Linked DNA regions of Rhinolophus ferrumequinum. The protein of the gene in region 1 interacts with the protein of each later gene in a biochemical or structural test. Links are inferred from orthologs where the notes say so. Each region holds a gene or a part of one and is shown in the gene's direction. Other genes may lie near its edges. The genes, in order: BCL2L1, HRK, BIK and PMAIP1.

The links.
Region 2: the proteins of BCL2L1 (region 1) and HRK interact in a biophysical measurement, tested with the Homo sapiens proteins (3 studies listed by BioGRID and IntAct, with this or other methods). The link is inferred for Rhinolophus ferrumequinum from reciprocal best matches to the Homo sapiens genes BCL2L1 and HRK.
Region 3: the proteins of BCL2L1 (region 1) and BIK interact in a test that uses a peptide from one of them, tested with the Homo sapiens proteins (3 studies listed by BioGRID and IntAct, with this or other methods). The link is inferred for Rhinolophus ferrumequinum from reciprocal best matches to the Homo sapiens genes BCL2L1 and BIK.
Region 4: the proteins of BCL2L1 (region 1) and PMAIP1 interact in a biophysical measurement, tested with the Homo sapiens proteins (3 studies listed by BioGRID and IntAct, with this or other methods). The link is inferred for Rhinolophus ferrumequinum from reciprocal best matches to the Homo sapiens genes BCL2L1 and PMAIP1.

What each region holds. Positions count from the first base shown.
Region 1 is NC_046306.1:22,755,789-22,763,779, forward strand, and holds the start of BCL2L1 (bcl-2-like protein 1), read left to right. Parts: upstream 1-4,972; 5' UTR 4,973-5,266; intron 5,267-6,073; exon of another isoform or gene 6,074-6,368; intron 6,369-6,659; 5' UTR 6,660-6,771; coding exon 6,772-7,335; intron 7,336-7,991. UniProt on the Homo sapiens protein: Potent inhibitor of cell death. Inhibits activation of caspases. Appears to regulate cell death by blocking the voltage-dependent anion channel (VDAC) by binding to it and preventing the release of the caspase activator, CYC1, from the mitochondrial membrane.
Region 2 is NC_046308.1:10,643,984-10,650,493, reverse strand, and holds the start of HRK (activator of apoptosis harakiri), read left to right. Parts: upstream 1-4,223; coding exon 4,224-4,499; 3' UTR 4,500-4,555; intron 4,556-6,510. UniProt on the Homo sapiens protein: Promotes apoptosis.
Region 3 is NC_046293.1:5,334,064-5,341,762, reverse strand, and holds the start of BIK (bcl-2-interacting killer), read left to right. Parts: upstream 1-4,683; 5' UTR 4,684-4,778; intron 4,779-7,699.
Region 4 is NC_046302.1:48,151,079-48,158,557, forward strand, and holds the start of PMAIP1 (phorbol-12-myristate-13-acetate-induced protein 1), read left to right. Parts: upstream 1-4,470; 5' UTR 4,471-4,659; coding exon 4,660-4,717; intron 4,718-7,479. UniProt on the Homo sapiens protein: Promotes activation of caspases and apoptosis. Promotes mitochondrial membrane changes and efflux of apoptogenic proteins from the mitochondria. Contributes to p53/TP53-dependent apoptosis after radiation exposure. Promotes proteasomal degradation of MCL1.

The sequences.
Region 1 (7,991 bases):
CCATTAACATTTGAATATATTTCCTTCCTGTCTTTTAAATTTTTCTTTTATTAGATATTGAGTAGTACATATACAAATATATTTACACATACATATGTAAAATGTATGAAAGGTACAAAGAATAATGAGGCAACATATTCTCTGTGCATATGTACAATTTAATAAGACCATTTCCATGACTTTTCAAGCTCCCAATTTAATTCTGTTCCCTGCTTTATCCTGTACACTCACCTATTAATGTGCAATGACTATCTTGAATTTCATGTTCACAATTCCTTTACATCTCTGTGTAATTTTCCACATATGCATATATCCCTGTATTAGTTACCTTTGCTGTAGAATGGATTACTCCCAAATTTAGCAGCTTAAAATTACAAACATTTATTATCTCATACAGTTTCTGAGGGTCAGGAATCCAGCTTAATGGAATGGTTCTGGTTCAGGGTCTCAAATACTGTTGTAGTCAAGTTGGTCGTTGTCATCTGAAGGCTTGACTGGGGCAGGAAGATCCGATGTGACTCAGCAGGAAGCTTCCCATCTTCACCACACAGGGGCCTCTCCATAGGGCTGCTCACAACAGGGCAACTGGCTACCCCCACAGTGAGTGATGAGAGAGAGATAGGTGTAGCCTAGTCTTGGAAGTGATATACCATCATCTCTGCCATTTGCTATCAGTCACACACAACTCCGGTACAATGAGAGAGAGGACTACACAAGGATGTGAATACCAGGAGGCAGGGATCTTTGGGGGCCATCTTGGAGGTGGCTGGCTACCACAAACCCTCAACAGCATATTGGTTAGTTTGCCTGTTTTCAAACTATATATAAATGGAATCATACTGCATTATTTTTTGTAAATGTTTTCATGTGATATGTTTCCGAGATCCTTTCATGCTCTGTGTAGCTAAATTCACTTATTTTCTCACTGTATTATAGTACTGTGTATAAACAAATAGTAATTAATGTATTTATCCATTTTGCTATAATGGACACTTGGGTAGTTTCCCAATTTTTGCTATCACAAGTAATGAGGCTATAAACATTCTTCCCCCCCTTCTTCCGCCTCCCCCCACCCATGCTGTCACCCTCACCCCCCCACCCCCTTACTCCTCCCCCACCCTGCCATTCCCCCCACTCCCTCTACCCCCTCAACCCCCTGCTCCGGTTCAAGCCGTTGTTTCTCAGTCTGGTTGTGTAGGACACAGCTCCCTGGCCCATGCTGGTATGATGAGCCTTGTGCTCCCCCTGCTGAGGCAGTCGGTCGCTGGTCAGCTGCTCACAGCAGCCAGCAGCTCTCGCTGGCCTGCCCGCCGCTCACGATGGCTGCCGGCCGCTCACACTGGCAGCCGGCCGCTCCTGGCCGCACACAGCAGCCCAGCTCCAGGGAGAGGCATTGTTCACAATCTTAGCTGTAGAGGGCGCAGCTCCCTGGCCCATGTGGGAATCCAACCGGTGGTCGACCTTGGTGTTAGGAGCACAGCGCTCCAACCACCTGAGCCACCGGTCTGGCCCTATAAACCTTATACCTTATTTTAGGGCATACATCAAAGAACAGAATTGCTGGGTCATAGGTCATGGGCATCTTCAACTTGACCAGGTAACAAATTTTTTTTCCAAAGTTATTCCACATTTTTGAACCACACTTGATTTGATTAGATTTTTTCATTTTTGCCAATCTAATGGGTATGAAATGTTATCTCACTGAAGTTTTAATTTGCATTTTCCCTGGTAACTAGTGAGGGGGAGCATCTTGTCAGGTTTATTGACATCTCTGGTTCTGTTACTCTTTAACATCTGTGCAAGGGGTTTCTCCATTTTTCTTTTGTCTTTATCATATTGATTTCCCAGCCTTTTCCCCATTCACGGTATTATTTAGAGTTGAGATCATATCACACATCTAATTTTGTATACTTTTATTTTCACTTTACATTAGACAATAAGTATTTTCTCATCGTCCAAATCTCAGCAAACAAGTTTTTAAAATACTGTTTTCCAATTTAAAAAATCCAGTCATTTTTAGATAATACAGAAAAGTATTAAAAAATAAAATAAAAGCATCCATAATCTTGCTACTCAACAATAACCACCTTTTTGGATTCTGGTTTAATTCCTTCAACTATATTTTGCATGTAATATACATTTTTATAAGTTCGAATACTTCTCAGTATAGTTTTATAATCTATTTTTTACAGTGTTATGTTGTGAGCATTTTCCCACATTATTACATATTCCTCAATTACAATTGTAATGTGTAAATTTAACCCCTATAAAACATCATCCTACTTATTGAACTTTTCAGTTTTAATTTTTCTTTCCTGTGTTATAGATAACCTTGCATAAATATCTCTGTTAAAGATAAATCTCTAGGCGCTTTTCACTACTTTAAATTAGATTCCAATCAAACATCATTTCTCAATGATCTCTCAAGAGCTGTTTTCAAGGCTCTTCATAAATATTGTAAAGTTCCTTTCCCAAAAGACGCTATCCATCTTTCCAAAATATAAATCTCGTCATGTCCTTTCTGTTTAAAAAGACTGGCTGGCTCCTTTGGTGCCTATTTAGTGTCCTGCACACTTAGGGTCTTACACAGTTACATTCATTCTCCTTTACGACCACACCCCTCTTAGCCGTCCCAATTTATTTCTTGAACACACCATAGGCTCCCACGTTAGACCTCCATGCCTTTTCTCAAGTAGTACCTTCTGCCTAAAATGTCCCTTACCTCCTTTCTCTCTTACTGTAGGCAAAATCCTGTTCTTTTAAGAGCCAGTTCAATGAATCCCATGTCTCTGGACAGAGTTGATCTGCCCTCTGCTGGGCTCCCAAAGCACATCGTGAACTTCCATCATGTTAATTTTCACCTTGAAAGAATCATCTCATCACAGATTTTTAAAAATGAAAGCAGATCATGTCCTGCCCAGTTTAAAACCCTTCCATGGAACATCACAGAAAGTTCAGAAATTGACCCAAACACACTTGGGAATGTAGATTGTGTTAATGGAGACATTTCAAATGAGTTGAAAAAAGATGGTATACCATATTGGGAATAACTGGGCAGTTATTCAGAAAAAAAAATTTGAATTCCTGCCTCACACCTTACACCAAAGTGAATTTATGATGGAACAAGGATTGAAATATAAAATATGAAACCATATAAAAACTCGAAGAAAACAGAATTATTTTTATAATATCAAACTGGAGAAGATCTTCCTAAGAATAACATAGAACCCGGAAGCCACAAAGGAAAAGACTGATAAAATACATGCAAAATAAACTTTCCATGGTAATAAATAATAAACTGGAAAAATATTTACAAGTTATATGTAGAAAAAAAGGATAAAAATTCCTATAAATCCATGAGAAAAAAAGTTGAAAAGACCAACTGAAAAAAGGGCAAATGAAATGAACAGAGACTTCACCAGAACAAGACACCCCCCCAGAAGAATCATAAATATGAAAAATTGCTCAACTTCACTCTTACTGAAAAGAAATGAAAAATAAAAGTGCCTCTCAATTTTTATTTCTGATTGGCAAGGATAAAAATATTTGATAACACATTGTGCAGTTCAGGATGTGAGGAAATAGACACTCTCATACTTTACTAATGGGAGGACAAACTGGTACAACTGCTATGGAGAGCACTTTGCCAATATCCATTCAAACAAATCAAAAACAAATCCATACACTCATTTACTGATAATTGCACTTCCAGGAATTTACCTAGCAGATAAACTCCCACATATGTAAAATAACAAATGGCCAAGTTATAGTATTATTTGTAGTAGGAGAGGATTGGAAACTACCTAAGAGTTCCAAAATAGGGGATTGGGCAAGTAAAGTATGGCATGTCTTTATAAAGTTGTGTGTTAATTTTAAAAATTGAGGCAGATCCAAAATGTAGAAATCAGCAAAAAAGGAAGATGTAGAAGCTTTTATAGCAAGCTACTGTTTGTGTAAAACATTTACACGTGTTTGTGAATATAGCAACCATCTCTGAAAGACCACAGAGGAAAGGGTGATGATCTCTGTGAGGGCAACTGGGGACTGGAAAGCAGGGTGGGAATAGGACTTACTTTTTAATTCTACACTCTTTGATATGTTTTTAACATTCAGTGTTCCTGTATCCCTATTTTTTTAATCCATCAAATTAACACAAAATAAAACACGTTTTAATGTTCAGAATCAAGTCCAACTTACTTCCATGGTCAGCTTTCCAACCTCCTCTCACACCACACTTGCCCTTCCTCACACTACCTTGCAGTCATATTGCTTCTCCTTCAGCTTCTGGAACATACCAAGATCTTCCTGCCTCCGGACATTTTACACAAGCTATTCCTTCTGCCTAGGTTGATACTCTCTAGGCTCTTCTGATAGGTGTGAATTTTCTTATACTTCAAGTCTTGGGTTCTATATCATCTCTTCAAAGAGGACATCCCTGGCCACCAAGTCTAAAGTAGCACCTCTCCCTTCACCACCTTTATGATAATACCCTTATTTACTTTCTTTATAGCACTAGTCGCTATTTGAAATTACCTTGTTTGTATATTTTCTTAGTTATTTACTGTCTCTCTCCATCTCAAGGGTTTAAGTCTCCATGGAAGCAGGGACCGAGTCTTGTCTTGTTCCCAACTCTATCTTCAGAAACCAAACAATAAGCATTTTATGAATGAATTTATGCAGCATATACTACAGACCACACACTGTTCTACAGACTTCACACATAACTCTTTTAATCTTTACAGTAACTCAATGAGGGAGATTGGTATTTACCCATTTTTACAGTTAAAGAAAGTGAGGCACGGAGCAATTGAGTAACTTGACCAACTGGCTTCTTAGTCACAACACGATGCTTTTTCGATATATAAGCGGACGGATGGGTGAAATTGACTAAATGAATGGAAATGTGAAATGTAAACGTTGATACAAATATATATACATATATATTTTTTGCGCCTCCGGATTCCCTAGCTCTACCGCAAGGAGGCGCTCTCTTCCAGGTCTTGACGCCAGTCCTCAAGGCGCGCACTTTTGCGTCTCGGGCTCGCGCGCGCTGCCGCGGCACCGGAAGTGACTGAGCTTGCAAGTTCCCCCGGTGTCTTCAGGGGAAACTGAGGCCGGCTCGTTCGGAAGAGACAGCGCGAGCAGTCCGCCAGGTAGGCCGGCCCGGGTCCGCGGCGCGGAACCCGGCCGCGAAGAGCCCTCGCGTCTGGAAGCGACCTGACCGACAAGGGGGGATGTGGCCCCCCACGGCTCGCGGGGCTTGCAGGTGAGAGTGCCGCCTCTTCTGTGCGTGGCAGGCGCTGCGCCCAATGGGAGCCCTCGCCGTCCCGTTTACTTACCGACTGGGCTCTCTGATTGGCTATGCTGGGGCGGGCCGCCGGGGGCGAGACCCCTCCTCCCAGAAAGGTCTAGGGGGCGCCCCTGAGGGAGAGCGGTTGCCTAGCAACGGGGCGGTGGCCCGGCGGGTACCCGGCCCTGAGCGCGGGAGAAGCCGCGAGGCCGCAGCCCACCCACCCCGGGCTCCGGAGAGCGGCAGCCTCCGGCCCCCAAGTCCTCCCGGGGGCACGAGGAAGCTGCCTCGGGCCTGGCCCCAGGAAAACGTGGTCTCGGCTGTGGGAGCCCTCGAGCAGGCCTCGACCCTTCTCCTGACCGGAGGAGAGGCCCGGCGCCTCACCCTCACCCCGTCTTTGTGCAGGGCGCCGGCGGCCATTGTGTCCGTGTGGGGAATGGAGGACCCGGCAATCCCCCACCGCCACCGCCGCGTCCAGGGCCTTTGGGGAATTCAAAGAATACCAGCGGCGTTTCTGAGGGGTCCCCGGCCTTCAGCCTCCCGGAAAGACCCGGGGATGGCTTTTCCGAAGTCAGACCGCAGATCCGAAGCAGTTTTCCCCTCCCTGCGTCCCTCATCGAAACCTTGAGCCCCATTGAGAAGTCCCTTCAGGGTTTCGGAAGCCTGGGCCGGTACTTAAATAGAAAAAAAAAAAAAAAACCAAAAAAACCTAAGCTCTCCACCAGCCACCTCTGGGAGAGTTCTCCTGGCTCCCAGTAGGAGGCGGAGGGAGAGCCAAGGAGCGTCTAGAGCGAGGGGGCTGGGCTCCCGGTGGCAGGAGGCCGCCCTCGTTCTGGGCGATGGAGGAAGAAGCCAGCGAGGCGGTGGGTTCGTGAGCTTCCTAATTCCTGTGTCGCCTTCTGGGCTCCCAGCCTGCCGGGTCGCATGATCCCTCCAGCCGGAGCTGTTTTTTTTGCCAGCCGCCGCGAGGCCGGCTGACTTACCGGCATCCCGGCTGCCACCTCCTCTTCCGACCTATATGATACAAAAGATATTCGGGGACTGCACCTGCCTGCCGTCGCCTGAGACAGATTTGAAAGTAGGTGGTGCGGGGGTGGGGATGGGATGCAGACTGCCCATGAGGGTGACTTTCCGAGGAAGACATTTCGGAGAAAAGGGGGTGGCTGGGGTAAAAAAAGGCCGGTGTAATGATTCAGAGCCCACTGGTGCTTTTAATTCGACTTCATTGAACTCCGGGAAGCTAGACCCAGACCTTCCTAAGAGCCACAAAGAAACCAGTTCTGGTACCTGGAGGTGCATTGGGATGTTGTAGGGTAAATGGTATGCATGTTAATTTTCTTTTTCCCTGAAGCTCTTTTTTTTCCTTTAGAACATTATCTTGGTTTTGGATCTCAGAAGACAACCACTAAGCAGAGACCAGACTCAGTGAGTGAGCAGGTGTTTTGGACAATGGACTGGTGGAGCCCATCCCTATTATAAAAATGTCTCAGAGCAACCGGGAGCTGGTAGTTGACTTTCTCTCCTACAAGCTTTCCCAGAAAGGATACAGCTGGAGTCAGTTTAGTGATGTGGAAGAGAACAGAACTGAGGCCCCAGAAGGGACTGCATCAGAGATGGAGACCCCCAGTGCCATCAATGGCAACCCATCCTGGCACCTGGCGGACAGTCCTGCGGTGAATGGAGCCACTGGCCACAGCAGCAGCTTGGATGCCCGGGAGGTGATCCCCATGGCAGCGGTGAAGCAAGCACTGAGGGAGGCAGGTGATGAGTTTGAACTGAGGTACCGACGGGCATTCAGCGACCTGACATCCCAGCTCCACATCACCCCAGGGACAGCATATCAGAGCTTTGAGCAGGTAGTGAATGAACTCTTCCGGGATGGGGTGAACTGGGGTCGCATTGTGGCCTTTTTCTCCTTCGGTGGGGCACTGTGCGTGGAAAGCGTAGACAAGGAGATGCAGGTATTGGTGAGTCGGATTGCAACTTGGATGGCCACTTACCTGAACGACCACCTAGAGCCTTGGATCCAGGAGAACGGCGGCTGGGTAAGGACCATGCCCCTTGTGTGTCCCCTTTTCTTGGCCTCTCGTCTGAGAGATCCCCAACAGCCTTTCCTCCTATCTCTTTCTGTTGTGCTGGGAGATTATTGGACGTGTTATTTAAGAAGACATGATTGGCCTCATTACACCACAAGAGGTTGATTGTTCTGAAATAGATGATCTCGTTCTTGAAGGACCAGGCATCTTTCATTCTGGTCACCCTCATGACCCCACTCTTTCATACTTGTGTTCCAGTTTCTTAGCAGAGGAAAACATAACCTGTGTGTTCATTTGTCCCAGAACCTTTGAGAGTGGGAACTTAGCCCAGTGTTCCTCTCACCCTGACATAATGGCTGGCCACGCAAAGGGGTGATGAGTAGAATGCCTGAAGAAGATAGTGAGTATCAGGGACCCACAGCCCCTCCATTCTTATTCCCCTAGAGGTGCCAATCCTGTCCTGGGCTTTCCTCCCTGACACCAAGTTCTCTTGATTTCAGAGTTTGCATATCTGATACTCTCAGCAAAGGACATGGTCAGGCAGGAGTTCTCACTGGCTTGGATGGCTGAGGATTGTCTCATTTTAGGGCAGTGACCAATTGTGTTTGTGTTTCATCTCTATGTTCATTTGCTCTGAAGTGTATAACTTTCTGCATGGTTGGCCT
Region 2 (6,510 bases), on another chromosome or scaffold:
TTATTCCCATTTTACAGATGAAAAAGTGGAGGCTCAGGAATGTGAAAAATATGCCCGAAGGTACCTAGCTATTGCTTGGTGGGGCTAGGGTTCGAACCCAGGTCTCTCTGGCTCAGAGTGTGAAACCACGCTGCTATGACTCTTTGATTCAAGAGCTCTGTTGTTCACCAACTCCTGGCATCCAATCTGGCCTTGGCACTAATACATGGCTTTAGGAAACACAGCTGTTTGGAGGCAGCAACAGCTGTTCATTCATTTACCACTTCACCAAGCCACACGAATTAAAACACCATAAGGTAAGGCTCACTTGGTCTCAAACACCAGGATAGGTAATTATTGTTTTAATTAAAGAAAAGAAATCCTCCTCCCCTTCCTGCTCAAAACACTTGAGCAGTGATTTCTGCAGGAGGTAAGGAAATGATTTGGGACAAGAAATTTTTTGTGTTATTGATGATAACAATTCTATGTACATCACTGTGTATGTCTGAAAGAAAGACAAATCAGGATGCTTACCATTCATTCATTTATCCATTCAGTCATTCCTTGAGTCTTCCTTTCAACAAATATTTACTGAACCCCTGCTATGTGCTCTGCCCAATTTTAAGCACTGGGGTATCAGAGGAAGCCTTCATGGACTAAAAAATTCTGTCTTATTTCTTCACTCTATGAGAGAGAGGTAACACATCCTTGCAACTGGTAGGGAAAGTTTTCTCTGTATTTCATGAAGTATTTCTCAAAATAACCCCCTAAAACAACCCCTCCTTTAAACATCTCCAACAGGGCATGAAAAAGGAAGGAGGGGGAACAGGCGAACAGTCCCCAGAATGCAACCCTTCTCACAAAGAACCCACAAAGCTGTGCAAGCACATGCTGGCAGTAAAAGCAGCCAAAGTCGGGTGAATATCTGCTTCTAACATCCCTTTCAGGAGAGTCCTCACGTCTCATTGGCTCTGTATTCATTTGCTCAGGTTGTCACAACCAAGTGCCACAGACTGAGTGGCTGCAACAGCAGAAAGTTATCTTCTCCCAGTTCTGAGGCCAGCAGTCCCCGATCAAGGGGTCGGCGGGGTAAGTTTCTTCCGAGGCCTCAGCTTGCAGATGCCACCTTCTTGTGCCCCTGGTGGCCCTCCCTTTTTAAAAATAAGGACACCAATCAGGTTGGATTAGGGCCCCACTCAAATGACCTCACTTAATTACAGTCACATTTGAGGTACTGGGGCTTAGGACTTCCATAGAAAAACTTGGGGGGGGCGGACACCGTTCAGCCCGTAACAGCCTCCCTCCCTCTTCCCAAATCCCCGATGGTGAAATAATACTAAAGAGCAGCCCAACATCTGGGGTCCCACAGCTATATGACCTTGGAGAAGTGATTTCAATGCTCCACCGCATTTAGTCATCCATAATCCAGGATAAATAATAGTACCTGTGCCATGAGATGGGTTGTTAGGAGGGTTACATGAGTTGATATGTCTGAGCACTTAGAACAGTGCCCAGCGCACAGTCAGCACTATGTAAGTATTTATTAAATTAAGCATTAAAAGAAAACACTCCTTTTTTCTAAAGTGTTAGGACAGCCTTCTGTTGTTACTCTCCCGAAGTAGTTGCCTTTTCTGGACAACACTTAACATCAGCAAAAGAATCACCAATTCACTGTAGGGGAACCGGATGTACTCTTTGAGGGTGCGGGCCCTCCAACATCCTTCAAAGCACACTGTTTAGGGACAACACGATCTACTTAAAAAGATTATCAGCAGCCAAACTTTATTAAACGCGGATGACACGGCGGACACCGTGCTAAGGGGGATTTATTTCAGTATGATTTTATTTCACTCTGTGAGGTAGGTACTATTATTATTCCCACTTTACAGTCAAGGAAGGGAGGCTCCAAAGAGCCTCATCTCTAGGCCGCATTCCCCGAGTAGTGAACAGTGGAATCGGCCAGAACTCCAGTGTGCGCCAATCAGGGAATGTCCGACGACCAGTATGTGTGGTGGTGGTGGGGGGTGGTTGTGGGGTGTGGGGACCTTCTCTTTCCCCCCACTTTTCCATCACCCTCTTCTCTTCTCCCTCTGCTGAATGACACATCCCCATGGCCAACGCTGTACTCTCTTTGCTACAGAAAACATCCAAGCGGCTGGGCCCCAACCCAGCGCCACCTTGCGAGCCCAGCATTTCGAGGGGCAGGCTTCCAAACAGGGTAATAATCGTCCCATTAAAATTAATGTCCATGAAGTGAGCCGTTAAAAGCGTGCAGATTAAAAAGGGGGGGTGGGCGGGAGGAGGGAACGGTTCAGTTTAAATCCAAAGGGCCTTTTAAATAGACACTGTAGCTTCATTCTTGGAACACTACACCCGGCAATGGCTCAGGTCCCCTCTGCAAAGACTAGGGGGGATTAAGGAGGTGAGTCCCAAGAGAATGGGCAAGTGGTTCTGGCCAGAAGCAAAGGGAACCAAGGTTTATCCGGGGCCCACTGCATGCCAGGTGCTTGGCACACATTTTTCTCATTTAATCTCTGCTGCCGTGATCCTGAGAAGGAGGTATTATTATTCCCAGATTACAGGGGGCAGTATAAAACCGTGGTTAAGAGTTTAGAGCCTGCCACAGACAGTTCTAGTTTAGATCCAGGTTCATTCTTCACAAACTGTGAGTTTGGGCAAGTGGCCTCACCTCCCTGTGCCTCAACTTCCTCATCTGCAAAATAGGATAGTAATAGCAACCCCCCCCCTGCCCCCCAACTGTTGGGAGATTTACTTTAGGCAGCCAGGCAGGGACCATAGCCCAGGAACTTACATACAAGGCACTGAGGAAGTGTTGGCCATGATTAGGGGTAAGAGAATGGGGCTGGTTGACAGTAGGGGCCACCAAGATCACATAGCAGAGCTGATATCTGAGCCCTGACATGCTGTAGAGGAGGAAAAATCTCTCCTCATACTAAATCCAGACCCAAACTAAGTGCAATTGTCTTGAAGAATCTTTTCCCAGTGACCAAAGGACTTACCAGGCCTTGGCAACACTGCCTGTGGGGAGCAGAGAATCAAAGATTCCTCATTTCTGAATCTCAAAAGTTATCTGAATCCCAATGGATTTAAGATCGGAGAAGGTCTCATTCTCCCTCAAAGAATCCTGGGAGCCCCCTCGCCCATCTGTAACTTCACTATCAGGAACAACTCCACACTTTCTAGTCTGGAGGGACCTAGGACAGTCGGTTTAGAAAGAGAGGGGCTCATGTCCCCGTGGAACCCCAACCCCTGTCGACCCCTTAGGGTCTTTACTGCGCATCGAACTGTGATCACCACTAGAAACTGTAACCCCGGCAGCAAAATAATATTCACAAAGGAAGCCGACAAAAATGAGTTTCCTTCTAGAAAGCCCCTGGTGAGGGTCTTTCCGCTGTGAGTGCGGAGCGCAGAGAATGCGGGCGAGGGCTGAGGCTCGACCTCTGCAACCCCCACCGCGCCTCCATCAGGGTTTCTAGCAGCGCGGGGGGCGGGTGCCGTCTGGCCAAGAAGAGCAGTGGGGTGGGGAGGAGGGGTTGGGGCGTGTGTCCAGTGTGCCCAAATCCGAAGCCTACAGGTGCCGAGTGAGACCTGAAAGTAGGCAGGTTGGGTTGAATCTGGCCCTCTCGTAAGATTTTGAACCAACCCACCTCCCCAAAACAAAACAATAGCCTTGGACTATTTTTGAATAATGCAGCCGAATTCGATATCAGCTTTATCCAAAACGGCAAACAAGCCTGCTTCCTTGGCCAAATTGGAACTGGAGCTGAATTCAGGAAAAAACGGAAGGAGAAAAACCTTTCCTGGCGTTCCACGCCTCCACTGGGGTCCCCTGCGACATCCCCCGCCCTAGCCCGGGACCTCCGCGGCGAGGCGTCCTATCTCGCGTCCCAGCGCCGCGCTCCTCTGCTCCCAAACCGCGCGCCCCCTCGCTGCCGGCGCCGCTAGGGTTAAAAGTTACCTCTCGGTTTCTTCTGCCTGCAGCCCCCCCCTCCCGGGGCCGGATGATGTAACCCACCCTCCCCCAGCCCTCCCCGCCCCCCTCCACCATGTGACACTTTAATTAATAATAGCGCCGTCAGCACAACAAACGCACAACACAAGGAGAAACTTGGTGTCCAGGGGAGGTCCCCGGCGGCTGGAGCGCGGCGGAGGCAGGCGCAGAGGCCGGAGGCAAAGGAGGCGAGGGGCGGCCCGAGAGCGGGGAGGGAACGAGGCGAGCGGTCATGTGCCCGTGCCCCCTGCACCGCGGCCGCGGCCCCCCAGCCGTGTGCGCCTGCAGTGCAGGCCGCCTGGGTCTGCGCTCGTCCGCGGCGCAGCTCACCGCCGCCCGGCTCAAGGCGCTCGGCGACGAGCTGCACCAGCGCACCATGTGGCGGCGCCGCGCGCGGAGCCGGAGGGCGCCGGCGCCCGGCGCGCTCCCCACCTACTGGCCCTGGCTGTGCGCGGCCGCGCAGGTGGCGGCGCTGGCGGCCTGGCTGCTCGGCAGGCGGAACTTGTAGGAACGCGGGGCTTCTTGGTGGGGCCGGAGCCGAGACCCAGCCGGAGCGAGCAACAGGTACGCTAGCCAGCCAGCGAGCGCCAGGGCGCGGCAGCTGGGGACTGGAGACGCTAGGCTGGCCAGGGAGCGGGAGAGCGGCAAGTTTGGCTTTCTTCCCTTCCCATCTCCTTCCTCTACTCCCTTCTCTCGCAAGGATCCCCGTGCCCCTCCTATCCAGTCCCCATCTCTCCTTCCAAGTGTCAGGTCCACCGTTTCTGTCCCCTTCTCTCCGACTCCTTACGCGCATCTTGCCATTCCCTCCAAAGGGGTGGCTTTTGGAGGACTTCAGCCTCCATAATCAAGTAAACACACAAGTAAAAAGTGTGCTTGCTGTGACAACAGAGTTACAAGCCACGCCAAATAATTATAATCTATCGCTGTTTCAAGACAAGCCCCCCCCCCCGCCCCATCCTCTTCCGAGCCGCCTGGCGGTCCTAAATCGCCACCGTCTCCATCATCGCCACTCCCCGTTCTAAGTGTCACTCCTCCAGTTTCTGTTCCCTATTCTCCCGCGCCCCGAGCGCATCTCGCGACTTCTCCCCCTCCAGGTTTCTGGCTGGCTCTCTTTCTCCCAAAGGCCCGCGCGCTTTACAGTTTTCCTCCGCTCTGCCAACTTCTTCGCTCTTTCTCCAGCGAGGTGTCCCGTTTAAGGATCGTGGCCCACTCTTCACCAGACGGTTGGAACTGAGCTGGAGGAGATGCCCCCGCAGTAGGCTGGGATCTGAGGTTCTTAGGGAAACTCCGTGGGGAAGTCTTAATGAAAGGGCATTTATTGAGCTCCTTCTGGGTGTTAGGCCCTGTTTAGCGAGGGAATGTTTGAGAGCTTGCAGAATGCTAGGCATTGCGCGGTGGTGGGGGTGGGGAGTGAGTATTGAGCGCCTACTGTGTTTGGCGCTCCAGTGGGAGTGAGGTACTGAGCACCTACTGTGCTCTAGGCTCTTGGGGTTGGGGAATTATTCATCCCCAACTGTGTGCCTGGCACTACGTTTAGGCACTTTGAGGGAGCAAACGTGTAAGAAATGTCTTTTCAGATTCTGGAATAGAGAGGAGAGCTGCAGAGCATGGGGGTGGAGAGAATCAGGCTGAGTCCACCATAGGCAGGTCTAGGGTGGGAAGGTGAAGGTCGAAGGTGAGAAAGCCAGAGACACCAAGATGCCACGGCCCACGATGCCCCGCGCTCAGGTCGCGTCTCAGCCCCACCGAGCGTTGACATCCTGGGAAGCTGGCGCGGCGCCCGGAGGCGAGGCCCGAGCGTCTGCGCCCGCGGGAGAGAGACGGCAGCCGGAGCGTGGGGGGTGGCAGCGCCCCGGGAGCTGCGGGGGTGCGCAGGGTGTGGAGCCGTGGAAGCGCAGGCGAAAGATGTCGCGTGGGCCTGCGCAGCCCGGGCTGCTGGCGAAGAGGTGAGCGCTTCGGGGCGCTCCTGCCCGACTCCGGAGGTCCCATACGCTACTACTCTCTCGGGAAAGAGGGTCTTCTTCGACCGGTAGAGGCCAGGCTGGGGCTGCCAAATCTTCAGGGGAGGGAACAACATTTTGGACCGGACGCAGGGAGCAGAAAAGGGAGGAGAGAGAGAGAGAGTAGAGAGAGAGAGAGAGAGAGAGAGAGAGAGAGAGGAGATGAGAGAGATGCGAAGCCAAAGCGTGGAATTTGGGAAAAGGAGGGGGAGAAAAGGTTGGAAAGAGAAGGAAAAAAAACAAAACAAAACCGGTGGCGAGACAGGGAAAGAAGCAAGGTCGCGCGCGGGAGCTGGAGAAAAAGCCTAGAGAACAAGTTGCACGCTAGTAGGAAAGTGGGCTAGAAGGAACGATGGAAGCTGGAAGAATCCAGAAGAAATGAGGAGGCGGGCTAGGACACGGCTTCCTCTGGTCTTGGGGTCCAGGTTAGGTTTTGGGAACGCGTTCTCTTCCCAGGAAAAGGCGGGGATGCTGGGCGCCCCACCCAGGGGGCGGGAACGTCCGGCCAGAGCCCCACTA
Region 3 (7,699 bases), on another chromosome or scaffold:
GAGGCTCCGATGTGTTAGGCCGTGCTGGAGCTCACATAGCTGAGAAGGGAAGTCCTTACCCCTCATCCCCCAGCATCCATGCCCCTCTACCCTGCAGCTCAGCTGGCCTCTCCAGACCTCAGTCTCCTTGCCTGTACAATGGGAATGTAATAAGGCTTCCCAACAGTTCTGCCCACAGAGGGCCCCACTGACTGTGGAGTCATATGGGCCGGATGTGCAGACCACAAAGTGAAGGAGGTGCTGCTAGCCAGCTGCAGGGGGAGAGGGCAGCCTGGGCACTTCTGCCAGTTGCACGGAGGTTGGGATGCTCCATTCAAGAGCCCTGGGCACTCTCAGAGACTCTGGGCATCATTTCCCCTCCAGTCTGCAGCACAGGGCTTCCAGATTCCAATTCCTGAAGATCTAGTCCCTTTCCTGCTCAAAGCCCTTCCATGGCTCCCCGGTACCCACAGGACAGTAGGGCCAAACCCACCTTTCTATACCTGTTCTCCAAGGTGCCCTCAAGTACTTCCTCTTCCAGGAAGCCTTTCCGGATATGTTTGCGGCCTCTATAGGAGCTGGCTCTTAGTTTTCCCTCTCCTGAGGCACTTTCTGTCTGAGACCCACTATGTCCTCGTGTCCCAATTTTGTCTCACTGGGGGCTAGGCATTTGCCATTGTCTTTGGCTCAGCTCTAGCCTGGGACAACACCAAACAGTTTTCTTCCTCTTCTTTAAAAATAGGAAGCGATGTTTTCCTGATTACCAAGTTAATACACGTCTATACGGAAAGTCTGGAAAATACAGAAAAACGCGAGGCAGAAACCGGAGCCACCTATCATCCTTACGCTCAGAGATGACCAACCACTATTCCCATTTTGCAGTGCTACACGCCCTTCCAGACTTTTAGATGTGGATGTGTTAAAAAATGGGGGATGGTACTGGACACACTGATTTGCAAGGTGTGTTATTTCATTTAACAGAGGATGCATCTCTCAGATACAGTTTCTTTTGTACAAATGTTAAACTCTTCACCAGTTCCTACAGGCTCCTTCAATAACAGCCTCTGGTTTTATTGACCACCTATTGTGTGCCAGGCACCACGCTGAGGACTGCATAGACTTTCATCCTGACAGCAGCCCTGGGACGTGGGGAATTTCACAGGGGATGGGACTAAGGCAGCCAGGATTCAAAACTCAAGGCTGAGTGACTCCTGGCGTCCTGGCTCTCACCGACCAGGCTGCAGGTTCCCTTCCCGGAAAAGGCTTATACCCCAACCACAATTTCGCTTCACTTTAGGGGGTTCACAGATTTCCTGAAGCCCAGCTACAGACCTCCAAGTGAGATGGGCCAGAGAGACCTGGGTTGGAGCCCCAGGCCTTCAATCTCTTGTTTGTGTGGCCTGGGACCCGCTAGGATCGCTCTCCGAGGCCCAGTTTCCTCATCTGTGCAATGGGGAGACCTACCCTGCAGAGGGCCAGCAGGGGCATGGAATCACCCAGGCAACACTAGGCTCTGGATGGCCTTCGTCCTGCGAAGGTACCCCTATGAGGCGTCCACCAGGGGGGTTGCAGGTGAAATGGCCATTAGGCTGCTCTAGCTCCCGGTAGGGAGCTCAGGCCCAACTGTGGAGAGAACTGCAAAGCCCTTTGATGGGTCCCTCCTGATATTACAAAGCCTCTCTCAAAGCTGGAGGATTTTCCAGATAAGGTGTCCCAAAGCTGGGGACAAAAGTCTGGGATGGCAAGTGGAAAAACAGGGTCATTGAAAACCTGTGCTGGCGCCTGGCTTCCCCAGGTGGGCCCTGGATGCTGAGGCCAGCACTTGGCAAACATGCTTGGCCAGCCACTGCTGCTCCCCCATCCCCCAACCCCGCCCTGGACTTGGGTAGGGACTGTTCTCCATCCTGGAAGTCCCGCGTCCTCACCTCTCTCAAGTCTTTGTACTAAGGTCTACATCCTCAAGAGGCTCCCCTGACCACCCTGGCTGAAAGCTTCCCTGCCCCACTCTCCACTCATCACCTGGCTTTACTCTCCCTCGAGTGCGGGCTCTGTGCCAAGCTGCCCAGAGTCCCATCTCCACTGTCTCTCCCACTAGGATGTGGGCTTCTGACTAGAAAGCGTCATCTCTAGATTCCCATCATCTATCACGCTACCTGATATTTTGTAGGTGCCAATCAATACCTGTTATATGAATGACAAAAAAAAAAAGTTGTATTAAGGACAAAACTGAACCCTAAATTGGTGCCAGAGGGCCTGCTGAGCAGCACGTCCCTAAACCACAGAAAACTGGTAATGGCCTCAACAGGAGAGGTTTGGCTGGCAGGATGGAGGCCCCCAGGGAAAAAAGGGGCTGCCCCACTGGGTCATGGTCTTCTCTTAGAGAGCTGGGTCCACACCCAGCCCGATAGCCCTGGGACACACCAGCAAATCCCAATGGAGAATGGGAAACTGAGGCCCAGGACGGAGGGTGGAAAGGGCACTGCAGGAGGTGTAGGGAGACCCGGGCTTGAATCATCCTCTGCTTCCCACAGGCTAGGTGCCAAGTGGCATTCCTTTTACAGAGCCTCAGTTTCCTCATCTGTAAAATGGGGCCATAAGTTCTCTCTTACCTGTGCACAGACCCTTTGTGGGTGCTCTGTAGTCTGTAACATGAGATGGCCAGCCCCATGGGGCAGTTGTAAGGATTAGAGGAGACAGAAAGTGCTTAGCCCTGAGATAAGGGGACCTGAACAAGTGGTAGGGCTGCCATCATTATTGTTACTGCTATTATCATGCACAATCTAACCCAGGGCCTGTTTTGGATGATAAGAAGCCAGGGTCTTTACAGGCCCAATTCTTATTCAAAAGGTGTTTTCCTCCTCCCGTCCATTTGATCAGCATATTATCTTGGGACCTTGCAAGGCAAATAGTCTTACCCACCCCTGCCTTGAGCTTTTCCATCCCCCACCTTTCTCCAAACTATTCCCCTTCCTCCATCAGTTTTGCTGTTTACTGAACACCGGCTGTGTGCCTGGTACTGAGACCCCTCTGGAGGCATTTTCACACACATCAGGTCTTTTTGTCTCATGAGACCCTGTGTCATTGCTTTCCCTCCAAGTCTGTTTTTTCATTTGCAGAACGCATTTGGAGAGCAGCCTCTATTTTGCAGAGGTCTCCCTCCTGCCTGTAAGGCACCCTGCAGCTATTAGCCAGGGTCAAGACATCCATGCTTTGTGGGGCTCAAGATGATGTGATTTGGGAGGCCTTAAAGAAAGGATTATAACATCAGAAGAGGCCAGAGGCGCCCCAACTGGAGGGAGGGGCCTTAAAACTTAAATTATTCTGCATAGTTTACTAAACATTTTAGGATTATTTCCTCCAGAGGCCCCCTACAGCCCAGCTGGGGAATGGGGGTTGGGAGTGTTGTGTGTGTGTGTAGGGGGGAGGTCAGTGCTGTCAACCCATTTCACAGATGAGAACACTAAGGGAAAAGTAGGTAACACTGTCTTCACTTCACAGGTGGGAAGAAGGGGTGAGGGGGGCTCCACCAGGTAGCAAATGGCAGAACTAGGAGGAGGGGAGCCCCTCTTGACCCTGCTGCTCCCCTGCCCTCAGAGGCTGCAGGACTGAGGTAAACAAGCCTTGTTGTTGTGTTCCTGGGACAATGGTCACTTTGTAATTCCAGCCTGCCTCCCTCCACCTCCGACACAGACCTTACCCCACCCCTCCCTAACCAGCCCCAGGGCTAGGTCCCACCCCACCTGGAAACTTTCTGATTTCACCTCCTCCTCTGGGAGCTTTGGGGGCCTCACTGCCCACCCCACCCCCGCGTTTCCCATGAGCCCAGGAGCCCCCAAGGAGGGCATCCGGCCCCTCTACTGGAGGCAGGGAAATGGGGCTGCGATGAGTTGGTGCGGCTGGAAGGAGGCAGTGGGGGAGGAGTGGGGCGGGAAGACCCCAGGTTTGGGTAGGATGCTGTGATGCTGTTTCTAACAAAGCTTGAGTCTCAGTTTTCACAGTTGTGAAATAGACTTAAAACAGACTTAAAAATACCTAACTCCCAGGGAAGGGGAACGGGGAAGGGGGAATGGCAGTTATTATTTAATGGGTATCGGGTTTATTTTACAAGATGGAAAGTTCTGGAGAGGATGGTGATGGTTGTAAACATTATGAATGTGTTTAATGCCACTGAACAGTACACTTAAAAATGGTTAAGATGGTAAATCTTATGTGTATTTTTATCACAATAAAAAAATAAAAAACACGAAACCAAACCTCACTCCTGAGGCTGCCAGCACAAAGAGTAGGACTCCTGGAGCGCTTGAATTCACGCTGCTACTTACTAAGTAATTTTCTCCTCTTTGAGTCTCCGTTTCCCCATCGGTAAAACAGGCGTGAAAAAAGCACCAAGCCCTAGGGCTGCTTTGAAGAGGAAAGGAGGTAGGTAACCCACGTAAAGATCCTGGGTTATATACCCAAATTCGGCCAGTGGATTCAACCACCTGCATACCTCGGAGCCTACTTGTGTGCAGCCCGAGCTTGGAAAGCAGTGCACAGGGCAAAACAAACTTTGCAAGTAGTAGGCGGCAGAGAGAAGTAAACAAGTAAACAGATCACACTTGTAGCAGTTGTGTTGCTACTCGTACCTACCTGGGTCTTGGATTCAGCGCGCTGGGACTGGAGAGGCGGCCCCGGGGGCGGGCAGGGGCGGGGCTGGCGGTTTATACGGTTGCACGCGGACTGCCAGCTGCACACAGGACGCCTCCTTGCTGCAGTTCTCCCGGCACCGCCGCCAACAGCATCGCTACCCCCGACGCGAGGTGAGTACAAGGCCTGCCTCCCCTGCGGGGACCTTAACCCTGCTGCCGCCCGCCCCCTCCGCCCAGCCCGAGCCCGGCAGGTAAGCGCCCAGGCTGCCATCCTGGGTGCAGAGCGGCTGAAAGGTTGGGGACCCGTGACCAGGTTTTTCTGTCCAGGGCAGCTGTCGGGTGTGTCACTTGCGGACGACGTCTCAAAACCCTGGCTCCGAAACGTCCCCTTTCTGGCGGGGGCTCCAGCCGCGGCCGCGCGGGCCTCAGTCTCAGCATCAGTGCGATGGGCGGCCTCTCCGCGCCCCGCCCGGAGGGCCGGATGCCCGGTTGCCCTGCTCCTTTCTCCTGCGCGGCCTCCTGGGGCCGGGCTCCCTTGCCCTCCCGGGCCGTGCACCGGGCCAGAGCGCGGGACTGGCAGCCTCGGGCTGCGACGACCCAGCCCGGTGTCCACTAAAAAAGAGAAGATGGCGTCGGGCACTGTCCCCGCCGGGACCCGAGTCGCCGCGTACGTGCGAAGGGCTGGAGACAGGCTTGACTACGGGGCGCGGGGGGAAGTCCGGAGCAGGAACTTGCGCGACCCGGGCGCGGCCGCCACCCCACCTGCCCGCGACCTGCACAGGTGCGCCTTTTACAGGTGCGCCTGCGGGTGGCCGCGCACGGACCGGCCGGGGCGCTGCGGCCTGGTCTCGTGAACAGCGAGCCGGCCGGCCGGCGCTCGGCTCTTGGGGGGCCGCAGGGCGCGTTCCATCCGGTGACCGGCAGGGCCTGCCCCACTCGGCCCGAGTGAGCCCCTGTGGAGCTCGGGGCTGGGACTTGTGTGACGCGCTTAGGCCTCCTGGCTGCAAATCACTTTGTAAACCGTTAATTGTTACTGTAATTTTTGCTACAATGTGCCACCCCGGGCGGTGGGACGTTGTTGTTTTTGCTGCTGCTGCTGCTGCTGCTGTAACATTTTTCTTTGGAGCACCTGCTGCGGCTGGGCCCGCGAAAGGGTTTTCCTGGTCAGCTTCGCTCCACCTTCCCAGGAAGGGAGGTGCTCAGTCTTATCCTTCCCCCATTAGGAAGGGGATAGACGATTGAGTTCTATGCTGGCTGCACTCCCAGGACGGAACCTGATTTTACGGATGGAGAAACTGTGACTTAAGTTCCAGGAAGCAATTTAAATGCTGTCTAGCATGTAAAGCCCAGAGCTGTGTTCTGGAAGCCATGCCAAAACCCTCCTCCATTCAGCCACTTTTCACCTGTGTTGTCCTACACGGGTTACTCCACTTCTGAGCCTCAGTTTGCTCATTCTGTAAAATGGGTCCATGAGGTTTCCTAGCAGGTGTAGAGAACACCTACCCAAGTATTGGCTGTTTTTGACTGGAGTTAACACTTTAAACTTATTTCTACTTATTTTGGGCATGCCTTAGGAACAAATCCTTAGGAGTGGCACATTTTTGTACTTATTGGTGCTGTTTTTGCACATCTTCCCTAACTGGTCTGTCTGAGGCAGTGGCTGGGCCTGGGTCCCAATGTTGGCATCTGGCTGTTGTGTGGTGCTCTTCACCACTGTCTTACTCTTCTCCACTCTTCTCCTCTCTTTTCACTCCAGGATTTGGGGATTTCCCCATTTTTTGAACCTCAAGGTCACAGGGTTGTCACTGATTGATTTAGCTGTGGCTTTTCCAGCCTTGCCAACATTAGGTTGTACAAGTTTATTTTTGCTTGTTTTGGGTTTTAAACGTCTGAAATGTTTGGGGAGACTGCCTTTCAAGCTCTGGACTTTCAGCCAGTGCCTCAGAATGTCCTCCTGGGTAGGGAGAACACATTTAATCAACCTTGTAAGTTGGCCACCAGTTGATTTTTTTTTTTCTTTTGGGTGGGAACTATCTTAGCAGGGATATGTATTTCTCCAAGCACCAGGGATCCTGTGACACTTTCCATGGGATGGTGTGAGGCCTAAAATAAATGGAGTGATACGCTCAACATGGTCCCTGTGGATGTCACACGAATCATCCTTCTTTGTTAGCTCAGCTCAGTTGCTGCCTCCTCTGAGAAGTCTGCCCTGACTCTCTCATCTGCAGGTGCAGCCCTCCCTCTCCTCCCACCAGTTCCTTTGTCCTAGGACGTTATTTTATTATCTGGAGGACACCAAAGACAGTGTGAAATGGCCCGTTTGGGCTCACTTGGTGTGAGTTACATCCAGGAGAACAGGAGCCCCAAATGTCATAGCCAAGAGTCGGGGCACACTGGGGAGAGAAGCGGGATAGAAGGTTGTAAGCATGTTAACGTTGTTAGTTTCAGGTGGTTAGTAGGTGTAAAAGCTGGGTTTGCTGAGCTGCAAAGAAACCAGAGAGCACTGTTAGCACATTTTTTTTCACTTCTGATTGTCTCTCTCTAATAAACGGAAGGGTTTTGGGGAAAGGTTCCATTCAGCAGTGTCGTGAAGCTGACCTCAAAGGCATTTTCAATCCTCTCCCTGGAAAGCATCCTGTTTGTAGTGAAGCTATTAAGTTTGTAGACAGTTAATGGCTTCTTGCTTCCCCTGCCTTGGACATAGTGGCTCCCACAAGAGTCGGCTGTTTTTCTCTCTGCCCAGAACAATTCCAAGAGGTTTTAAGGAAGTTCGCGGCATGCTCGGGTTTTGTTGTTGGCGGCCACCAGGAAGCCTGCAGCGGTCCAAAGTGGACATGTGCAGCCACCCCCGCGTCCCTTTGTCCTACTGTGGTTGGTTGGGGCCGGGCCCTGGGAGAAGTACTGAACCCAAGCAGATAAGGCTCGTTGGGCCCCAGGCAGGAGCGAGGCCAGGCCTGGTGTCCATGGCACTGGGCGGGCTCAGGGAGGGCAGCTGCTTTTCCTAGTGTCAATATTAGGATGTGACAACACAAAACATCCACCAGGCCTCGCTGGGCACTGCGTGGTAAACCTGTTTTTCTGGAGGTGGGAGA
Region 4 (7,479 bases), on another chromosome or scaffold:
ACCTGTTCCCTCAGGAGTCATCTTATTTCTTACATTATCTATACTGCTTTTGAGCTTTATTTCAGGCTGCTTAAATCCATTGTCAAGTTTACTAAGGGAATTTTGGTTTCTAAAATGTGCAAATTACAGGGATAGCCAGTTATTTCAGTTGGTTAGAGCATGGTGCTAATAACACCAAGGTTGTTGTTTCGATCCCCGCATGGGCCACTGTGAGCTGCCCGCTCCTTAAAAAAAAAAGAAAAAAAAAGTACAAATTACAAATAGGAGGAAAGGTTTATACGAGTACATAGAACTTTTTAAAAAAGGCAATTGGTAAAGGGAGACGTTATAGATTGAGATGAGTCCCCCCAAAAATATGTTGAAGTCCTAATTCCCCACTATCCCCCACCTGCCAACCTATGAATGTGACCTTATTTGGAAGTAGGGTCTTTGCAGATGTAATCAAGTCAAAATGAGGTCCTATGGGATTGGTGGGGGCCCTAATGCAATGACTGATGTCCTTATAAGAAGAGGTAAATTTGAACACAGACACAAAGAGGGGAAGGTCATGTAAAGACCAGGACAGACATTGGAGGGATACATCTGGAAGTCAAGTGTTGCAGGAACTGCCACAAATTGGAATTGGCAAAGGAGGATTCTTCCCCTGGAGCCCTCAGAGAGAGCATGACACCTTGAGGCTGACACCTCAAGGCTGACACCTTGATTTCAGCCTCCCAGCCTCCAGAACGGTGCAAGAATAACTTTCCATTGTTTTAAAACACCCAGTTTGTGGTGCTTTGTGATGGCAGCTCCAGAAAACTAATATAGGTGAAGATGTCAATTATATTTATGCTGAAAAATATCAAGTCTTGCTCTAATAGAAGGGGGTCCTCTCCCAGTCAGGAAATATGGGAATTTTAATAAGACCGGTTAAAACAGTGAGTTTGCTGACACTACCATCAGGTATGAGAATTCCAGCAGGATCTTCACTAGTCACACTGTCTCCAGTCTCAGCTCAACTAATCTAGTCACACTGCAGCCAGAGTGAGCTCTCCAGAATCTGATCATATCGCCCACCTCCTTAAAACCTTCAGTGGTTCCCCCCGCCCTCACTGCTTCCACAATAATACCCAAATTCCTCAGGCAGCTTCTCTCCCCATTTACTTCTCACCATTTCCCACTGCTCTTCACTCTCCGCAGGGAACACACTTCTTCCCTTCAGCCTCATTGCTTGGCCAACTCCTATTTATGCCTCAGGTGTCTATGTAGACGCCCTTTCTTGCTTAATTGACCTCCCATGGTCTGCCATCATTTCTCTGGCCCAGCTCTAGGCACATCTTGTTGTACCTGCCTGTGTGGTTACCTGTATCAGCCTCTAGCCTTGTCCATAGACCAGAAGCTTCAGCATCACCAGTATGTTTAAGAAGCAGTATGTTAAGACCAGCTAGATCTCCAGAATCAGAAGTGAACTTTAACAAGGCAGTCTTTCGCACCATGCTTTTGTAAGGTATTGCTCTTTTCAACACAGGTTCCATGGGGGCTAGAAAGCACTTTCTCCCCGGAGCCTAACCCAGTGTCTGTCTTAAAGAAAGATTTAACCAATTAATGCATCAGGGTGACTTCGTGTTAACAAACATGCTCTACAGGAAAAAACAAACAAGTCCCCTTTTACAGGAATAAACAGACTTAGGTTTACAGCCTATACATATATATCTTCACTGGCTTCCTTTAAATTTCCCCCTTATTCATCGCTCATATCTTCTTGTCTTCCTGTTAAATCCTATTTTCCACATGAGCTATATGAATGACTATTCTATTATTAATCATGTTTGCTGTTTTGTTTTCCAGTATTTTTTTTTTTAACATGGGAAGTGACAACACAAGCATGACCAGATTTGCATTGTCATTGTTGAACTTGGTCCATGAAAACTTATATCTGGTAGTAGTAGTAGTTTAAAAAAATTGTTGCTCTCACCAGTCCTAAAAACAACAACAACAACAACAAAAACATAATAGGGGATTTTAATGCTTCATGAGAAAATTTTATTTTATCAGTACCAGTGGTCAAAATATCTCCATATTTATATTTCGTGCAAGTTCTCATTAAATGATACATCACTTTTCCAGAGACATACTGGGGGTGCCAAAAAATGTGTACAAGTGGACACTTTGGTCAGCGTTGCTCAAGCAGTAGTTCGCCATAATCAGAAGTGTTGGGACACTGATGGTAACCACTTTGAGCACCTCTTGTAATTGCAGAAGTCAAATGTGACATGTATTCATCTTTGGTTATCGGTATATATTGAGTATTACAATTTTAGTACAGTTTTCCTTTCTTAAAATGTGTATCCATTTTTTGGGCACCCTCTGTGGATAGTTAAGAAAGGTTTTTCACATTCAGCTTCGATTTCCCTTAATAGAATGTTGGGTCTGAAAAAGACTGTGAGGCGTCTCAAACTCATCTTAAAAAGTCCTCCATAAATGGCTGATTTTGACCCCTCTCTGAAGCCCACCTCCCCCCACTTGCTCCTTCCTTTTCTTTCGAATTTGCAATTCTCTAAAAGACACAGCTTGCCTAGGTTTGTGTGGACCACGTGACCAACAAGCTTTTATAATGCTAAGATGACAGGACCGGATCAACACGCCCTTTGTAGGTAAACAATGACATAATTTGTTTTTCTTTTGTTGAATGTTGTCATTGCCTTTCAGCGTCCATGATTGTCTCAGAAGTTTACTAATTTATCCTATCAGAAAGTTAATGATGTTCCTTAAGAGTGAGGTTTATCAGAATAAGCCTCGAGGAGAGCCGCAGTGGTTTTGGGCTCTCCAGCAGCTCCGCAGGGCTTTCTTTGCCACTGGTAGAAAACTCCCGAATTCTCTTAATCCCAAAGTGTTTACCACACTCAAAACGAAGTTGTTTAAACTCAAATCGCAGTTTTGTTCCAGGCTTCCAGTGTTGTCTATGCTTCTGCTGGACCAAGCCAAAATAAATAGTCGAAGATTTGTGTTGATTGAATGATTTCAGGTAAATAAACAAGCTCAACTGCCTACTGGGGCCAGATAATGTAAATGAGAAAACAAACAGCAGGGAGTGTGGCTGACAGGGGCTCCAGCTCCCTAAGGGAAGAAGCACGTTTGGAAAACGGATCGCAGGTTTGTCTGAGTTTCCAAAGGACGCCAGAAATCCAGGGTTTTAATTCAGTCTCTCAATTTTAAATGTTGGTAACCAATGCAAATGTTCACAAGACATTTTGCAGACCAATCCTGTGAGCCAAACATTTCTACTAGGAAGCCACGCAACTCTAAGCAGCCAATTTGCAACCTCTGCATGAAATAGCGGGGCTAACAAGCAGCATACATTTTCTCAGAAACTGATCGCCGGAAGGCTGCAGTGGACAACAGCTCTGGCTCCCTGTGGGCCTGCCTGGGTTCAGATCCTGGCACTGCTCTCTGCCTCCGTGAGCTTGAATAATTCACTTCACCTCGGTAAACCTCAGTTTTGCACCTGTAAATTGCGCAACACCGCTATGGTAAAAACGCCCGTTTCTTGGCGTTGTTTTGAGGACAGGAGAAAATGCCCGCTTAAAAGCCTGAGCGTGCAGCGGCCCTCAATACCTGTTAACCAACCCGAATTACTTCTTTTCATAATAATGGAATTAGTCAAGGGCCAGCCACACATTGTGCAAATTAACTTCGTATTCCCAGGTAGCTCATTCCTCCCTCCACAAAAGCATTTGAAAGTTTTCTGTAGGATAAAGCACTTTTTTTTTTAGGTTACTTAGCATCCGGAATGAGCAACATCGACCTCTCCAGAGAGGAAGCCCCCTGTCTACAAATACACACACACACACACACACACACACACACACCCTTCCTTCCAAATCAAAACAGTGTTTCAATTTGTAGCTAACTTCCCAAGTGTCAATCTGGTACTTTATTTACTCCCATGGCCTCTGGCATCATGCCTTCTGTTATTAAACTTCTCTTCATTGCACTTTCCTGAAACTCCCCACGTTCTCCGAGTGTAAAAAACTTGCCTTTCCAAACTTTTTGGGGGCTTTGTTTACAGAAGTCTATAATTGCCCATTTATGATAAGGACGAAGTTCCCGGCCTCTCCAGCCCCGGCTTGCCTGCTAGGAACACCTTCCTCCACGCCGGACTCCTGGACCCCGCCACCACTGCAGCGGACTCCACCTCAGGTCCCTCGGCCCCACCCCCTCCTCCCTCACCCCGTCTGTGACAGAAGTGATTTCGGGACTGGGCAAGGTCTCGCCCGCCGAGCGCCCTGCACCTCCCGCCGGGGGTCGGCGCCGCCGCGGGTCGGGAACGTGTTCGCGAGGTCGCGCGAGGTGGCGCGGGGTTCCCACACCCCCCTAGGCCAGGCGCGCGCACCCCGGGCCACTGCCGCTCGCTGGGGCGGGGAAAGGGGCGGGCCTGGCGTCTAGTTTCGCTACGTCATCGGGAAGTCCCTGTAAAACGTGAGCGTGGGCTCTTGCTTCTCCCCAGAACCCGAGGTTCTCGGCTACCCACTGAGTGCCGTCTCCAGCCGGCTCCCATCAGGTCCAGCCCGCCCGCCTGGCGCGCAGCTCGCGTCCTGTAGACCCCAGGGTGCAACCCAAGGTTGGGGGACTGAGTTCCCCGGAGGTCTGCAACAGACTTCCCGCCGGCTGCTCGCGGAGATGCCTGGAAAGAAGGCGCGTAAGAACGCGCAGCCGAGCCCCACGCGGGCCCCGGCAGGTAGGGACCAGATGGGGTCCGCGGCGATCCTGGCCGGGGTGGGGGCCGGGGCCGGGGTCGAGATCTCAGTTTGGGTGGGGTCAGTCAGTCTGCTCTGGGCCTCAAGGTCCGGCGGGGTCTGCGTCCTTGCACGTGTTGTAAGGGCGCCTCCTGGAAGTTCTTCAGGGGTTTTACCTAGGACTGTGGAGACGGCGAGGGAGGGAGCCCGGTCTGGGATTGGGATGCAGCTGCATTTTAGCGGATGCAAAAAATCTCCTCTACGCGCGCCTTGTGTCCCTACTTGCCCTGCCGCAGGGCCACCGGTGGGGGGAAAGTGCAAGTGCGAGCGTCGGCTACGAGGAAAAGTCATTATCCCAGCAGGTGGGGAAGGGAGAAGCTCCGGGAGCCGCCTGGCCTCCCAGCACTTCCTAAGGCAGGGCCTCACCCTTCCGAGTCCTGGGGCGTCGTGGGCCGTCGAAGGCCCTGCTCCGAGCCTTAGCACTCGCTTCACCCCCAAACAAAAGCAGTGAGGACGCTTGATAACAGCTCTTCCACAACCGGCTGAAGAGTGGTGGAGGCCGCAAAGAGACCATTGCGTTCGGGGGCCCAGAAAGTCTTGCTTCTTTGTTAAGAGTACATTGTATAACATTTGAAACAATCGATATTAGTTGCGGAGTAGGGATAAAGAGCAGGAGTTGGTCCCCAGTTTTTAAGATCCTTCCATTCCTCCCCTGCCCCCACCGTAGCACCATCAAATAACTTAAGGTCAGCTCCTACCCCACCCCCACCCCTCCACCCCCCGCGCCCTTTTTATAAATCTTATCAAACAAGGCAGTCATCTGTTAAGGGGCAGTAGGAAAAAAGGCAGCAAAGCTTTGGCCTCAAAAATCCGTGTGGGCCATACTGCTATTACATCAGCTAGTAATAGGCCCCCTTTTTAACTTAGTTTCATTTTATAGAGCTCTTGGGACTTGCAAAGGAAGTGGTGCATTGGCAATTTGGCCATGGCTAAGTTGGCACCAGACTGCTCTCTCTGGCTCTTGCTTGGGAGGGAAAAATTTTTCTAAAATCTTTTGTGATGTCCAATAGTCCTGACCATGTTTTGGAAAGGTCTAAACTTGTGCGTAACCTTTACCCAGCCAATTTACTTAGTTCCCAAGAACAAGGAAGAGTAGAAAGGTCCCTCTTAAACTTAATTAGATAGTACTATATGTAAAAGTTGAGATACAAGTGACATATAGCATTGTATTAATTTTAGGGGTACAACATAATGATTTGATATGTGTGTGTATTGTGAAATAATTACCACAGTAAGTTAACATCCGTGACCACACATAGTTACAATTTTTAAAGTACATTTATACATGTGTAACTAACAAAAAGATTAAGGAAACAAATAGGGGCTATTTTCTGCCTTTTTTGGGGGGGGTGAGTGCGAGGGGTAATTTTTCCTCTTATAATTCAGGGCTTCCAAAATTGTATGCAGCGTAAATTTTTTTTAAGGATGGTAGGTTAATATATCCCACTTACTGCAAAGAACATGACTGTAAATACCTCTCAAAATGTTTGACTTGTATCCTATAAAGAATGGCACCTTATGATATTCATTAGGTCTCTTGTTAGAGATTATGAAAATTTCACCCTGCTCTTGTAACGAGAGAATTTTAAAATACACTTTATTATAAATTTACAGCTTTTCATTTTGAGCCTAAATAGGGTCTTTGCAGGGTGTGTTTACAAAATAAAACCAGATTTCAATTTGTAGTCATAATGACTTTTTTTTCCCCTTCCGCCTCCCCCACCCGCCTTCAAGCGGTTGTTTCTCAGTCTGGTTGTATAGGACACAGTTCCCTGGCCCATGCTGGTATCATGAGCCTCGTGCTCCCCCAGGCTGAGGCAGTCAGTCCCCGTAGGTTGGCAGCTCAAGGGGGCTCTTGCTGGCTGCCAGCCTTTCATGCTGCTCATGCTGGCCACCGGGGGCACAAAAGCAGCCCAGCTCTAGGGAGAGCCGTTATTCACAATATTAGCTGTAGAGGGCGCAGCTCACTGGCCCATGTGGGAATCCAACTGGCGATCTAGGCATTAGGAGCGCGGCGCTCCCACCACCTGAGCCACCGGGCTGGCCCATCATAATAACTTTTAATGTTCGTGGTCATGATCTTGAAGTGGACCAAAAGACCCTGAGTCGCTCATTGAAATATCCACAAAATTGAAATTATGGTCAGTATAGATTTGGTGTTAATTTCACTTGCTTAAAAAATTTACTTGGAAATTAGATGATAAGCAATATTTTTCTTAAATTAATATCCAGTTGATTACAGTATCTCCATCCTAAAAAAGTAGTAAATGTGTGAAGTAAATATTACTTATTTTCTGCTTCAGTTGTCTCCGTGAAGGCAGTGGATTGATAGAGGTTGGGTTTGGAGGAAGAATTTGGTTTAGAGTAAAATTTAAACTTCTAAATTATTTTAGAGAATGTGGGGTTAATTTTAGAATATGGTTTTATAAGTCTTTTATGAGAAATTTTTAGAGGTTTTTTAAGTGAGGAAAAGAATACCTTTAGATTTGCCTATAAATGAGGGCATAATTTGAGCTATGTGTTATGGCCATTTAAAAAATAAGTCCTATTGGAAAACAACACTGAAGATTTTAGAATTTGACTTCAGTTCCCCAACCAACCTTAAATGAGATAAAAAAGGATGACATCACCTGAGGCTGCCAAAGTCTCACTGACACGGACTCTGTGGTAATTGACATCTGTTCTGCTGTGTTTGACATATTCC